3 linked regions of the Canis lupus familiaris genome follow. The protein of the gene in region 1 interacts with the protein of each later gene in a biochemical or structural test. Links are inferred from orthologs where the notes say so. Each region holds a gene or a part of one and is shown in the gene's direction. Other genes may lie near its edges. The genes, in order: BCL2L2, BAD and BIK.

Region 1 (4,044 bases):
CTATTATTGTTACAGAAACCTTTCTTCTCCTGTGACTGTAGGGCCAGGTCGGAATATCAAGGCTTGAAGTAGAGGTAGAAGTAAAGGGAACCAGCAGGAAAGGAAAAGTGGGTTGCCGCTTTCTAGCCTTTGGCTGGAGATCCCTTCAAATGGAGCCGAAGGACGTGCCAGAGCAAGAGCCAGTGGGGCCCAGTCAGAATGCCTGAGAGAACATTCCTGAGGATCACCTGTAGACAGACTGCTTAATATTCTGTGAACTGCCCTGTATAAATATACTGCCTTGTATAAATAATAAGTATACATATATATGTGTGTGTCTATACATATAATTATATATATATTATATATATATATATGTAATCTGAAAGAGTAAACATCAACCTTGTCATTAGCAACTTCCATGAAGGGAGGTGGAATTGGGCAAGAGGTGGAAGGGGGGGGGAGATTAAGGACTCATATTTTTCCCCCTTATACCTTTATGTTGTTTGAACTTGTCATGAGAATTCATGTGTTGAGTAAAAAGAATTAGAATGAAAACCAATCTGATTACAAAACAAAAAGAAGAAAGAAAAAGAAAGAAAGAAAAAGAAAGAAAGAAAGAAAGAGAAAGAAAGAAAGAAAGAAAGAAAGAAAGAAAGAAAGAAAGAAAGAAGAAAGAAAGGAAGGTAAAGAAAAGTTACCTGCAGAAACTACTTGGCGATCCAAGTCTTGATGCCTGGCTAAAGCTTCAGCCCATGAAGAGACTACTAGATTAGAGGTCCTGGAGAGAAGAGGAAGTGAAATGTTCAGTGTCCATGTCGTGTCTGCCAGTCCCGCAAGGCAAGGAAGGCACCTGGTCAGCAGTTCCCATTCTAGTGGGAACTGCTCCCCTAATCCAGGCATCCGCTCCTGGGCAGGAAAAATTCAACAAGTGCATGGAACATCAGAGACCTTCTGGGAAATGGTGAATTTACTCCGAGGTTTCCTGAGGCCTAGCCGGCTTCTCTGGGCAGCCTTCAGTCTCAGGAGCCCAGACTGGCCCTCGGTATCCTCCCAGCCCTACTCCTCTTGGCCTCCAGCGGGCCTCTCTCTTCCGGAGTTGTGGCCCTTCCCAAGCTTGCTTCCCAGCCCCGCCCCTCTCTCTCTGGACGCATCTCTGGGCCCCATCATCACCCGGCGCCGGGCCCTCCCTCCCGCCCCCCCTTTCTCCTCCCTCCTTCCTTCCCTCCCTTCCTCCCTCTCTCCCTCCCTCCCAGCTCCTGCACCAGGAAACGGCCCGGATCCTGGCAGCGGCCTGACCCGTGAGATCCCTAACCTGGCAGGCAGGCGGGGTTGGAGACTTGCTGAGGGTGGGGGTGAAGGAGGAGCTGGGCTGTTGGACTGCACTGGGGGGGAGCCGGGAGTAGAGATGGTGAAGGCAGGAAGCCCTTGGCCCTGGGTTTCCCGGGAGGACAGTCGTTAAACATGGATTCGGCCACACAGCTGGTAGAATGTTGGGGGCAGGGGCCGGTCCAGGAAGCTGCAACCCCAGCCTTCTTAGTCCAGACTCTGATCGCTGGCCTTCCCCACCTAGCTCTGCTCTCCCCCTCCCCTTCCCAGGGCTCCACGCTGGCCAGGAGGATGAAAGGCCCCAGCTGGGGGCTCCTTGCCACCAGGGCTGGGTCCTAAGAGCTGCCATCCAGGCTAGGTGAGTGTCCCCTTTCTTTTCTGTCCCAGGCAGCCCTTTGCTTCTTCCACCTTTCCCTTCAGCCCCTGTCTCCACCCCCATTGTGTGCCTCTGCCAGCATCTTCACATCTTCCCTCTGGGGAAGTACTAGGCCCCTTCCTTTAGCCAAAAAGGTGTGTACTGTGGAAGGGGGGGGTGGTTTGCAGGGGTGTTGCAGAGCTGGTATTCTCCTATTGTGGAAAAAAATCTAAAGTATTTTAAAAATAAAATTTACTTGTTTTGCATTTAATGTGGCATATTATGAATTTAATGGCCAGCCCCTCATGCCCTGACCGCTCACCTTGACTTAACTCTTGTGTTCTTGCCCTTCCCTGCCCAGTGGTCTCTGAGCATTTCCTCCCACCTCTCTCCCTGTCTCACTGGGTTGGCCAAGCCTGAAGTACCCCTTCTGGCTCTCTGACCATATATTCATGCCAGTCTTTCATCCTTGACTCTTACAGCCGCCCGGATGGCGACCCCAGCCTCAGCCCCAGACACACGGGCTCTAGTGGCAGACTTTGTAGGCTATAAGCTGAGGCAGAAGGGTTATGTTTGTGGAGCTGGCCCTGGAGAGGGCCCAGCAGCTGATCCACTGCACCAAGCCATGCGGGCAGCTGGAGATGAGTTTGAGACCCGCTTCCGGCGCACCTTCTCTGATTTGGCAGCCCAGCTGCATGTGACCCCAGGCTCAGCCCAGCAACGCTTCACCCAGGTCTCTGACGAACTCTTCCAAGGGGGCCCCAACTGGGGCCGTCTTGTGGCCTTCTTTGTCTTTGGAGCTGCACTGTGTGCTGAGAGTGTCAACAAAGAGATGGAGCCACTTGTGGGACAAGTGCAAGAGTGGATGGTGGCCTACCTGGAGACACGGCTGGCCGACTGGATCCACAGCAGTGGGGGCTGGGTAAGAAGCTTCTCAATTGCTGCTCTGCACACCCCTCCGAAAAAGCTTGTCTCCAGAGGGAAGATGGGGGCTCTGGCTGGAGGCTAGGGGCGGAGTCGCCCTATTTGGGTGGAATCAGATGCCTTCACTATGGGTATCTCGCTAGACTCTGCACTCCAGGGCTGCCATGCAGTCATCACTGGATGGGTTCATGGTCCAAAGCAGAGGACAGACTACACAGTGCCTGCAGGGAAATGGCATCCAGCTGTCAGGAACTTTTTACACCAGAGTACGGTGACATGGGCGGTGGTGGGGATGGGGTGTCAGGGATGGGGTGGTAGTTAGGAAAGCCTTGGCAAAGGATGTCAGTTCAGAGCACAATTTTTGGCCAAGGAGAGGCTGGGATTCACTTGAGGTAGAGAGGGCAAATGAGCCAGGCGCTCATGGGGGATGATGGGGCCTTGCAGCCAGTAGAGCTTTGGCTGGCGAGGAGCTGGGTATGGGGTAGTGCTTGCAGTGGATGGAACTGGAACTCTTCCTCTCCTCTTTCCTCCACTCTTTCCTCTCCTGATCTCCCTTTCTCCTTCTTTCTCTCCTACTTCCCTTCTCTCCCACAGGCGGAGTTCACAGCTCTATACGGGGACGGGGCCCTGGAGGAGGCGCGGCGTCTGCGGGAGGGGAACTGGGCCTCAGTGAGGACAGTGCTGACGGGGGCCGTGGCACTGGGGGCCCTGGTCACCGTAGGGGCCTTTTTTGCGAGCAAGTGAGCAAGTCCGGGGCCAGGCGGGGCTAGGTGTGGCTAGGGGACAGGAGAGCAAGAACAGAACAGGAGAAATGCCCTTGGAAGAAGTGGGGTGAATGGATGGGCACGGAATGGGGATCGGAAAGGGCAGGGTACTGTGTGAAGGAGCTGTGTTTGCCAGGCAGGCAGTTGGAAGGATGAGCTGGGAGACATTAGGGAATGTATTTGGAAAGTCGGGGGCGGGGGGGCGGGCAGGAGATAAAGTCATTCCAAGGTCAGGAGGAGGTGGGAGAGATCATGTCTATAGGTGTAGGCACACAAAACTATACCTAGAACTTAGCTTGTAGCCATGAGGAAGGTCGACTTGCAGGAGGGGTTGTGTCTCCATTGGATGAGTGAGAGTGTGGGGGGGAAACAGAGGGCACATTCCTTTGAAATGGAAGCTTGAGGTTCTCTGGTGATAGAGAGAGATGGCTGTGATGGTGGGCTGCTTGGACATGTGTGTGCATGTGTACGCATGCTTGTGTGCATGCCGGGCTGCTTGTCTAACCTGTTGGTGGCTGTACTTGAGAAGAGCTCCCTGTTGGAGTGGCAGGAACAAGGGGCAGTTCTCTGCCCCTCCCCCCCACTCCCCCCCTTGTCCTGATGCCTCAAGGCTGTGGGAGAAACACTGTATCCAGTAGAGGGCTTTGGGCACTTTCTGGCAGAAAGTCATCAGCAGGCTTGAGGGAGAAGAGA
Region 2 (3,421 bases), on another chromosome or scaffold:
CTCAGGCAGTATTCCCAATCCTGATTTCTGAGTTAGCTGCCTGTTCTCCACTTCCACCTCACTTCTCAAAGGCTGTATGGTGTTCCTTCCTGACATCAGGCCTGGACTTGGGTGAAGCTCAGAACAGCCAGGAGCTCTGACCACTCTCTTAATCTAGACCTTTCTGAATCGAGTACTCTCTTCACATCTTAGCTTTCTTTTTTCTTTTTTTATTTCTTTTTTTTTATTTTTATTTATTTATGATAGTCACACATGGTGGGAGAGAGAGAGAGAGAGAGAGAGAGGCAGAGACATAGGCAGAGGGAGAAGCAGGCTCCATGCACCGGGAGCCCGACGTGGGATTCGATCCCGGGTCTCCAGGATCGCGCCCTGGGCCAAAGGCAGGCGCCAAACCGCTGCACCACCCAGGGATCCCCACATTTTAGCTTTCTTAGCCACGGATCTTTCTTAGCCCCTGAAAGTGACCTGTAGGGCTTTGTGTAAGGTCCTTTGGGAGAGAATGAGACACTTGTCCCCTGGCCTCAGAGCCTGGCCTAAATCCAACTTCCTCCAAAATGCCTTCCCTGACAGATGGGCTTTGCCAGGGACCCCCAGCATGTTGCCGTGTGTTTGTTCCATGCTGTCAGTCTGTCTGTCTTTTTTAAGATTGTATTTATTGTATTCATGAGCGTTACACAGAGAGAGAGAGGCAGAGACACAGGCAGAGGGAGAAGTAGGCTCCCTGCAAGGAACCTGATGTAGGACTCGATCCTGGGACTCCGGGATCACACCCTGAACCAAAGGCAGGTGCTCAGCTGCTGAGCCCATGCTGTGTTTCACGCTGTTATGTAGCTCTGGGTTCTTGCTCCTGGGAGTGGTTCTAGGTCTTTGTTGGTCTGGATTTGGGGGTGGGATTGGCAGGAGTGGAAGGATGGCACACAGTACAGAGGTCAGAACACAGGAGAGGTGACTGTGAATGACAACTTATCATGTACTTTCAACTCTCAGAGCACTTTCACATACTTCATGTGACCTCTACACAGCCACTGGTAGTAGGGGATAGGTCTCTCCCCACACAGAGGTGAGCACACTGGTTCAGAGTTGAAGGGTGGTAGCTCAATGGCTAATTACTGGACTCGGGAGTCCAAGAAACTTCTAGGGAGTTCCAGCCTGAGAGCTTCACATTGTGTGACCTTGGACAAGTCTCATTTCTCTAAGTCTCTGTCTTATCGTCTATAAAATGGAAGCAATATTAGTACTCCTTAAGATGGTTAGGAGCATAATGAGGTAATTCCGAGGGCTGGCACATAGTAAGTGCTCCATAATCATTACCTTAAAAAGTCAACAGACAGGGGCACCTGGGTGACTTAAAGTGTCACCTTTGGCTCTGATCATGTTCCCAGGGTCCTGGGATAGGGCCACATTGGGTTCTCTGCTTAACAGGGAGCCTGCTTCTCGCTCTCCCTGTTGCTCCCCCTGCTTGTGTTCTCTGTCAAATAAGTAAATAAAATATTAAGGGAAAAAAAAATTAATAGACCCTTCCAGACTCAATCTCCAAAGTGGGTGTTCTGGGAGGTACAGACATGCTGCAGACAGGTGCTTGTTCTCCAGGGACCCAAGGTCTCCCTAGGCCACAACAGTGAAATAGATGGGCCCCCCGCAGATCACTTGCCCAGCTAAGAGTTCAGCCCTGCCTGGGGCCAGAGACCTCATCCAGGGAGTGCCCCGGGGCCCTGTGGTGTTGCACTGATAATTATACTACTTATGGCCTTATTTTGTGGCAGGCACAGAGGCAGGTCATTTGATACTCTAAGGGCCTGGCCCACTGTTGGGGCTCAATTAAGATTTGTGGGATTACTGAGAAGTTAATTCGAATCTTCACAAAAGCCCCAGGAGCTTCCCTCGCTTTACATATGAAGGAACTGAACTGGGGCTCCAGGTACCCCTGAAGGTACTGTGCACACAGAGCCATCAGCGAGAGGGAGCTGCCCGGAAGGCTTTGGCAAGGCTGGGGGCGCAAAGGAGTAGAGACTCATGTCGCCCCCGTCCCCCGTGCAGGCGCTGGGGCTGAGACCCGGAGTCGCCACAGCTCGTTCCCCGCGGGGACCGACGAGGATGAAGGAATGGAGGAAGAAGAGCTCAGCCCTTTCCGGGGGCGCTCGAGCTCAGCGCCCCCCAACCTCTGCGCGGCACGGCGCTACGGCCGCGAGCTCCGCAGGATGAGCGACGAGTTCCAGGGCTCCTTCAAGGTGAGCGCCGGCCCCCAAAGCATGTCGGGAACTGTAGTTCCGGGGCCGCTCCTCTCCGTCGGCCCTGACCCTGAGTCCCAGGGCCTGCCGGTATCTGTAGTCCACACCGTGCGTCAGAACGTTAAAGGTCCCGAGTTCCCCAGATCCTCGCGGCGCGGAGCGCGCTGGCATTTGTGCTCCCGGGCAGTCCCTTTCAGATATCCGGGTTCTTTGGCTTCAACAACTTCAGAATTCCTCAGTTCTTGGACTGCCGTCCCGGCTTCCAGAGGCTGGGTCTCGGGCTCTTCCGGGGTCCTGGCGTTCTCTCCCCGCGCCCCTGGCACAGTGTGTCTGGGACCTAATCAGTCCCGTTCCTAAGGGCCCAAATGATCCTTCGAGGCTCCTCAAGTGGACAGGAGGCCCCTCGGTGCAGGGCATGCTGGGAGCTACGGTCTTTAGGTCGGCCGGCCGGCGTCTCACTTAGCGGCGGGGTCCCGGAGGAGGAGGGCTCCGACTCGCGCTGCCAGAACAAGCTAACTCATTTAACCCTTTCCTCCTCCCACCCCGAAGGGACTTCCTCGCCCGAAGAGCGCGGGGACAGCGACGCAGATGCGACAAAGCCCCAGCTGGACGCGCGTCATCCAGTCCTGGTGGGATCGGAACTTGGGGAGAGGAGGCTCCGCCCCGTCCCAGTGACCCGTCCCGCGTCCCGAAACTCTCCCCTTCTCTCGGCGCCGCCGGCGGCCATCTTGGGTGTGGGCGGAAGTCTTTCCCGCAGGCTTGATGTAAGAAAGAGGTTCAGTTCTTTCCTTCTCGAAGGAGGCGATCTGACCCAAAGCCGATCCCCTTCCGGTGTGCACCAGGAGCACGGAGGGGTTTGGCCCCGTCGGAAGTTTTGAAGTTTACGCGCCCTTGGCGGCCGGAAGTGGCCCCGTGCCCCCGCCCCGGCCCCCGCCCGGGCTGCCCCGAGCGTCTGCGCCAAGTTGCGGGGCAGGAAAACCCTAACTTCTCCAGAGCCCTTTCCTCCGCGGCGTCGCTGCGGGCTGTCACTCGCTACGAAATGTGCTAATAAAGCCCGCGTTTGTGCCGCCGAGGCTCCTCTCTCTGTCGCCTGGGGCCTCGCAACCCTGAGAGCGTCCTCGCTTTACACGTGAGGGAAACCGAGGCTCCTCCTGAGCGGCTTCTCCTGGAACCGAGCCCGGGGAGGGGTCGGG
Region 3 (4,337 bases), on another chromosome or scaffold:
CCTGAAGTTTAAACTCTGTTGGTGTTTACCAAGGATTATCTGTTGGTGGTCACAGATCCTGATCTCTCCTCTGATCCACCCTATAGCCCTGCAGGTGTAGGGTGGGGTCAGCCGTTTCAGAGATAACACGGAAGGAAAAGAGGGCATCACTGCCAGTCACTCCAGAAATGGGAAGAAGGGGCCAGGGGCCCCACCAGGTAGCAAGTGGCACAATTAGGGGGAGGGGAGCTCCCCTGGATCTGCTGTTCCTCTGCCCTCAGACACTGTGGAGCTGGACTAAGGTAAACAAGTCTTGTTGTTGTGTTCTTGGGACAGTGGTTACTTTGTAATCCCAGCCAGGCTTCTGCCTGCCTCAGCCTCCACCACACTCCCCTGCTCCACCTCAGGGATTGCCCCTACCCCCTCCCTAACCAGCCCCAGGGCTGGGGCCCACCCTACCTAGAACCTTTGTGATTCTCCTCCTCCCTAGGGGCTTTGCACCCCCGTTTCTCCCTAGGCGCAGGAACGGAAGGGCTCCTCCCTTACAGGCTGCTCCCACGAGGAAGGCTGGGATGGGGGTGCAGTGGGTGGTACAGGTGGAAGGATGGGGCGTTGGAGGAGGGGGATGCTGCTGACGCTGTTTCTGCCAAAGCTTCACTCTTGGTTTTCACGATTGTGAAATAGGCGGAAATATACCTAATTCCAGGTGGGTGCCAAGGCCGAGGGGTGAAGGAGGGAATGGGGAGGTTTAAAAATATATGTATATAGGGGATCCCTGGGTGGCTCAGCGGTTCAGCACCGCCTTTGGCCCAGGCGTGATCCTGGAGACCCAGGGTCGAGTCCCACATCGGGCTCCCGGCATGGAGCCTGCTTCTCCCTCTGCCTGTGTCTCTGCCTCTCTCTGTGTCTCTCATGAATAAGTAAATAAAGTATTTAAAATATATAAAAAATATGTATATATATATATGTATATATACATATATCTATTTTAAGTCATTTCTACATCCAAAGTAGGGTTCGAAACCATGACCAGAACAGCGAGAGTCGCGAGTCGTAGGCTCCACCCACTAAGCCAGCCGGTCGCCCCAGGAATGGGGAGTTTTTATAGTTTGTTTTCACAAGATGGAATCACAGAGATGGGAGGTGGCGACCGTTGCACATTATGCAGGCGCTGAACACCACTGAGCGGCACACTTAAAACTGGTTGATACGGTAAATCGTGTCGTGTGTATTTCACCACAATAAAGAAAATTGAGAAAAACAAAACAAAACCTAACTCCCGAAGCTGCTAGCACCGAGAGCATGACGGGGGGGGGGGGGTCCCCGCTGTCGCTGGGTCCTCTCCGACGCCCAGTTTCCACATTGGTGAAATGGCCTGGACCAAAGCCCCGGGCGGTCGGGACCCGCTCGGACGGCGAATGGGACCACCCGCCTGGAGACCCTGGCCACGGAGCGCACGGCGGCGGCGGCGGCGGCGGCGAGCCCGGGTCGGGGATCGGGCTGGGGGCGGGGAGGCGGCCGGGGGCGGGCCCGAGCGCGACCGGCGGTTTATAAGCTCGCGCGCCCGCGGCGGCCGCACACAGTCGCGTCCCGGCTCCAGCGCCCCGGACCCGCGGTGAGTCCAGGTCCCGCCGCCGCCCTGCACCCCGCGCCCTGCGCCCCGCGCCCTGCGCCCCGCGCCCCTCACCCGCTGCCCTGCGGCCCCGCTGCCCCGCTGCCCCGCGCCCCTGCACCCCGCGCCCCCGCGCCCAGCCCGGTAGATGGGCGCCCAGGGTGCCGAGCGGGGGCTGCTTAGGGACCTGTGCCCAGGTGGTTCCGTCCCGGGCCGCTGTTGGGTGTGTCACTCCCGGGACCCCCGGCTCCGAGACGCCCCCTGTCCGGCGGGGCGTCCAGGTCCCCGCCTGCGAGGGTCCCGGCCGCGGCGCCCCCGGGCCCTCCGTCCCCGCATCCGCGTAATGGGGCGCCCCCCCCCGCGCCGCCATCGGCTCCGGCTCCGGCTCCCGCCCCCGCGGGGGAGGGGGTCCCCCCGCCGAAACCGGGAAGATGGCCCCGGGGCGCCCCGAGTGGCCGCGCACCTGCGAAGGGCCGGGAGAGGCTCCGGCGCGGGCGGCGGGGGCGCCCGGAACAGGAACTGCGCGGCGAGCGGGGCGCGGCCGCCGCCCGCACCTGCCCCTGCCCCGGCCCCGGCCCCGGCTCCAGCCCCGCGCAGGTGCGCCCCGCCTCGCCCTGCAAACCCGCCGCAGCGGCCGCGGGCGCGTCCCTCCCGCGACCCCGAGGGCTCCCGCCGCCGAGCCCCGCGCCGCCGAACCCGCCGGCCGCCTGGGCGCCAAACCGCCGTGTTGCCGTGGGTCGTTGGTCGTCAGTGTAGTTTTGGCTGGAATGAGCCGCCCCGGGGGGCGCCGCTGCACATCACCCCGCCCCGCACCCACTGTGGCCCGGCCCCGATCGGGCCTGCTCCCCGAGGCTTCGCCCGCTCCCCAGGAAGGGAGGGTTGTGAGCCGCATCCTGGCCCTCTCCGGAGACTGGAGGCTTCGTTTCACAGGTGGTCAAAGTGAGACTCGCTTCCAGGAGGAGGCCGCCTAGACGCCGGCAAACCAAGAGCCCGGAGCTGTTTTCTGGGAGCGCGGCCAAAGCTCTCCACCCAGCCACTGTCCAGCTGTGTTGTCCTACAGGGGCTGCTCCCGCCTCTGGGCCTCAGTTTGCTCATTCCTTAGAATGGGTCCATGAGGTCCCCACCAGCTGTGAACACCCACTTGGTGTTGGTGGCTCTTCAGTGGCTTCCCTCAGCGCAAATGCTTTAACCTTGTGTCTGCTTCTCTTGGGCATGTTTTTGGGGTAACGTCTTGGCAGTGGCACCTTTCAGGAGTTGATTGGTGTGGTTTTTGCACTAGTTCCCTAAGTGGTCTGTCTCAGGCGATGGCTGGGCGGGGACTCCAGCCTCAGCGCTGGTTGTTGGTGCTGCCCTTGCCCACAGCTTGGCCTCTCCTCCACCCTTCCCTTCCCGCTCCAGGATTTGGGGATTTCCCACCATTTGAACCTCAAGGTCACAGGGCTGTCACTGCCGGCTTTAGCTGTGGGGTAGGGCTCTTACCAGCGTCAATGCTCTACAAATTTCTTTATGCTTGTTTTTGGTTTGAAGTGTCTAAAGCACCTGGGGAGACTGGCTTCCAGGATGTGGCTGTTCAGTCAGTGCCTCAGAATGTGCCCCCCCCCACCACAGGGGAATCCTATTTAATCAACCTTCTAAGATGGTTGCCAGGCGATTTGGGGTGGTGGTGGTGGTAGGGTGGGAACTGTGTCAGCAAGGGTGTTTCTCCAAGCCCCAGGGATCCCGTGAGGCCTAAAACAAATGGAGTGATGCACTTAGCACCGTCCCTGCGGGTGTCATCCTTCCCTGGCTCCGTTGGCTTGCTTGCCTCCTCTGAGAAGTCTTCCCTGACTACCTCCTCTATAAAGGTGCAGCCCATCCTCTGTGCAAGGAACTCATTGTACTGTTTCAGGACACTGGAGACAGATTGAAATTACCCATTTGTGCTCACTTAGCATGACGCTCGCCTGCAGCTCCATGAGGACCATAGGACCTATGTCACACTCAGCGGAGTATCCCCAGCAGGTGGCACAGCCAGGGCCCACTGGGAAGAGGCTGGACGGAGGGTTGCATGCCTGTTACATACCCCAAGTTTCACAAGGCGGTTGGCAGGTATAAAAGCTGGATTTGCTGAGCTGCAGAGAAACCAAGAGAGCAGCATTAGCCCGTTCTTTTCCTCTCCTGCTGGGCTAGGTTGTGGAAGGGGGTGCTCGGAGGATGGCTCCATCCGCTGGTTGGGTCTCCACGCTGACCTCGGAGGTATTTTCCCCTCTCCCTGGAAAGCATCCTGTTTGTAGTGGACCTATTAAGTTTGTAGACAATTAATGGTTTCTTGCTTCCCCTGCCTCGAACATAGTGGATCCCACGAGAGTCCGGCTGTTTTTTTCTCTCGGCTCAGAACAATTCCAAGAGGTTTCAAGGAAGTTGCCGGCACGCTCGGGTTTTGTTGTTGGCAGCCACCAGGAAGCCTGCAGTGGGTCCAGAGTGGACATGTGGAGCCGCTCCCTGGTCTCTTTGTCCTGCTGCTGGTTGGCCGGGGCCAGGCCCTGGGAGAAATACAGAATGTAAGCAAATGAGGCCACGGCCCCCAGTTCCTCGTTGGCATTGAGGCTGGCAGCAGAGAGGCCAGGGCTGGTGGTCAGCGCCCTGAGGCGGGCTTGGAGAGGACAGCTGATTTTCCTAGTGTCAATATTAGGATGTGACAATACAAAACACCCGCTGGGCCTTGCCGGGCACTGCATGGGTAAACCTGTTTTTCTGGAGGTGGGCG

Evidence for each region.
Region 2: the proteins of BCL2L2 (region 1) and BAD interact in a biophysical measurement, tested with the Homo sapiens proteins (4 studies listed by BioGRID and IntAct, with this or other methods). The link is inferred for Canis lupus familiaris from reciprocal best matches to the Homo sapiens genes BCL2L2 and BAD.
Region 3: the proteins of BCL2L2 (region 1) and BIK interact in a biophysical measurement, tested with the Homo sapiens proteins (2 studies listed by BioGRID and IntAct, with this or other methods). The link is inferred for Canis lupus familiaris from reciprocal best matches to the Homo sapiens genes BCL2L2 and BIK.

What each region holds. Positions count from the first base shown.
Region 1 is NC_049229.1:3,690,802-3,694,845, forward strand, and holds BCL2L2 (bcl-2-like protein 2), read left to right. Parts: upstream 1-1,228; 5' UTR 1,229-1,301; intron 1,302-1,578; 5' UTR 1,579-1,666; intron 1,667-2,145; 5' UTR 2,146-2,153; coding exon 2,154-2,585; intron 2,586-3,181; coding exon 3,182-3,331; 3' UTR 3,332-3,690; downstream 3,691-4,044. UniProt on the Homo sapiens protein: Promotes cell survival. Blocks dexamethasone-induced apoptosis. Mediates survival of postmitotic Sertoli cells by suppressing death-promoting activity of BAX.
Region 2 is NC_049239.1:53,295,985-53,299,405, forward strand, and holds the end of BAD (bcl2-associated agonist of cell death), read left to right. Parts: intron 1-2,037; coding exon 2,038-2,228; intron 2,229-2,777; coding exon 2,778-2,903; 3' UTR 2,904-2,917; downstream 2,918-3,421. UniProt on the Homo sapiens protein: Promotes cell death. Successfully competes for the binding to Bcl-X(L), Bcl-2 and Bcl-W, thereby affecting the level of heterodimerization of these proteins with BAX. Can reverse the death repressor activity of Bcl-X(L), but not that of Bcl-2.
Region 3 is NC_049231.1:23,388,830-23,393,166, reverse strand, and holds the start of BIK (bcl-2-interacting killer), read left to right. Parts: upstream 1-1,514; 5' UTR 1,515-1,594; intron 1,595-4,337.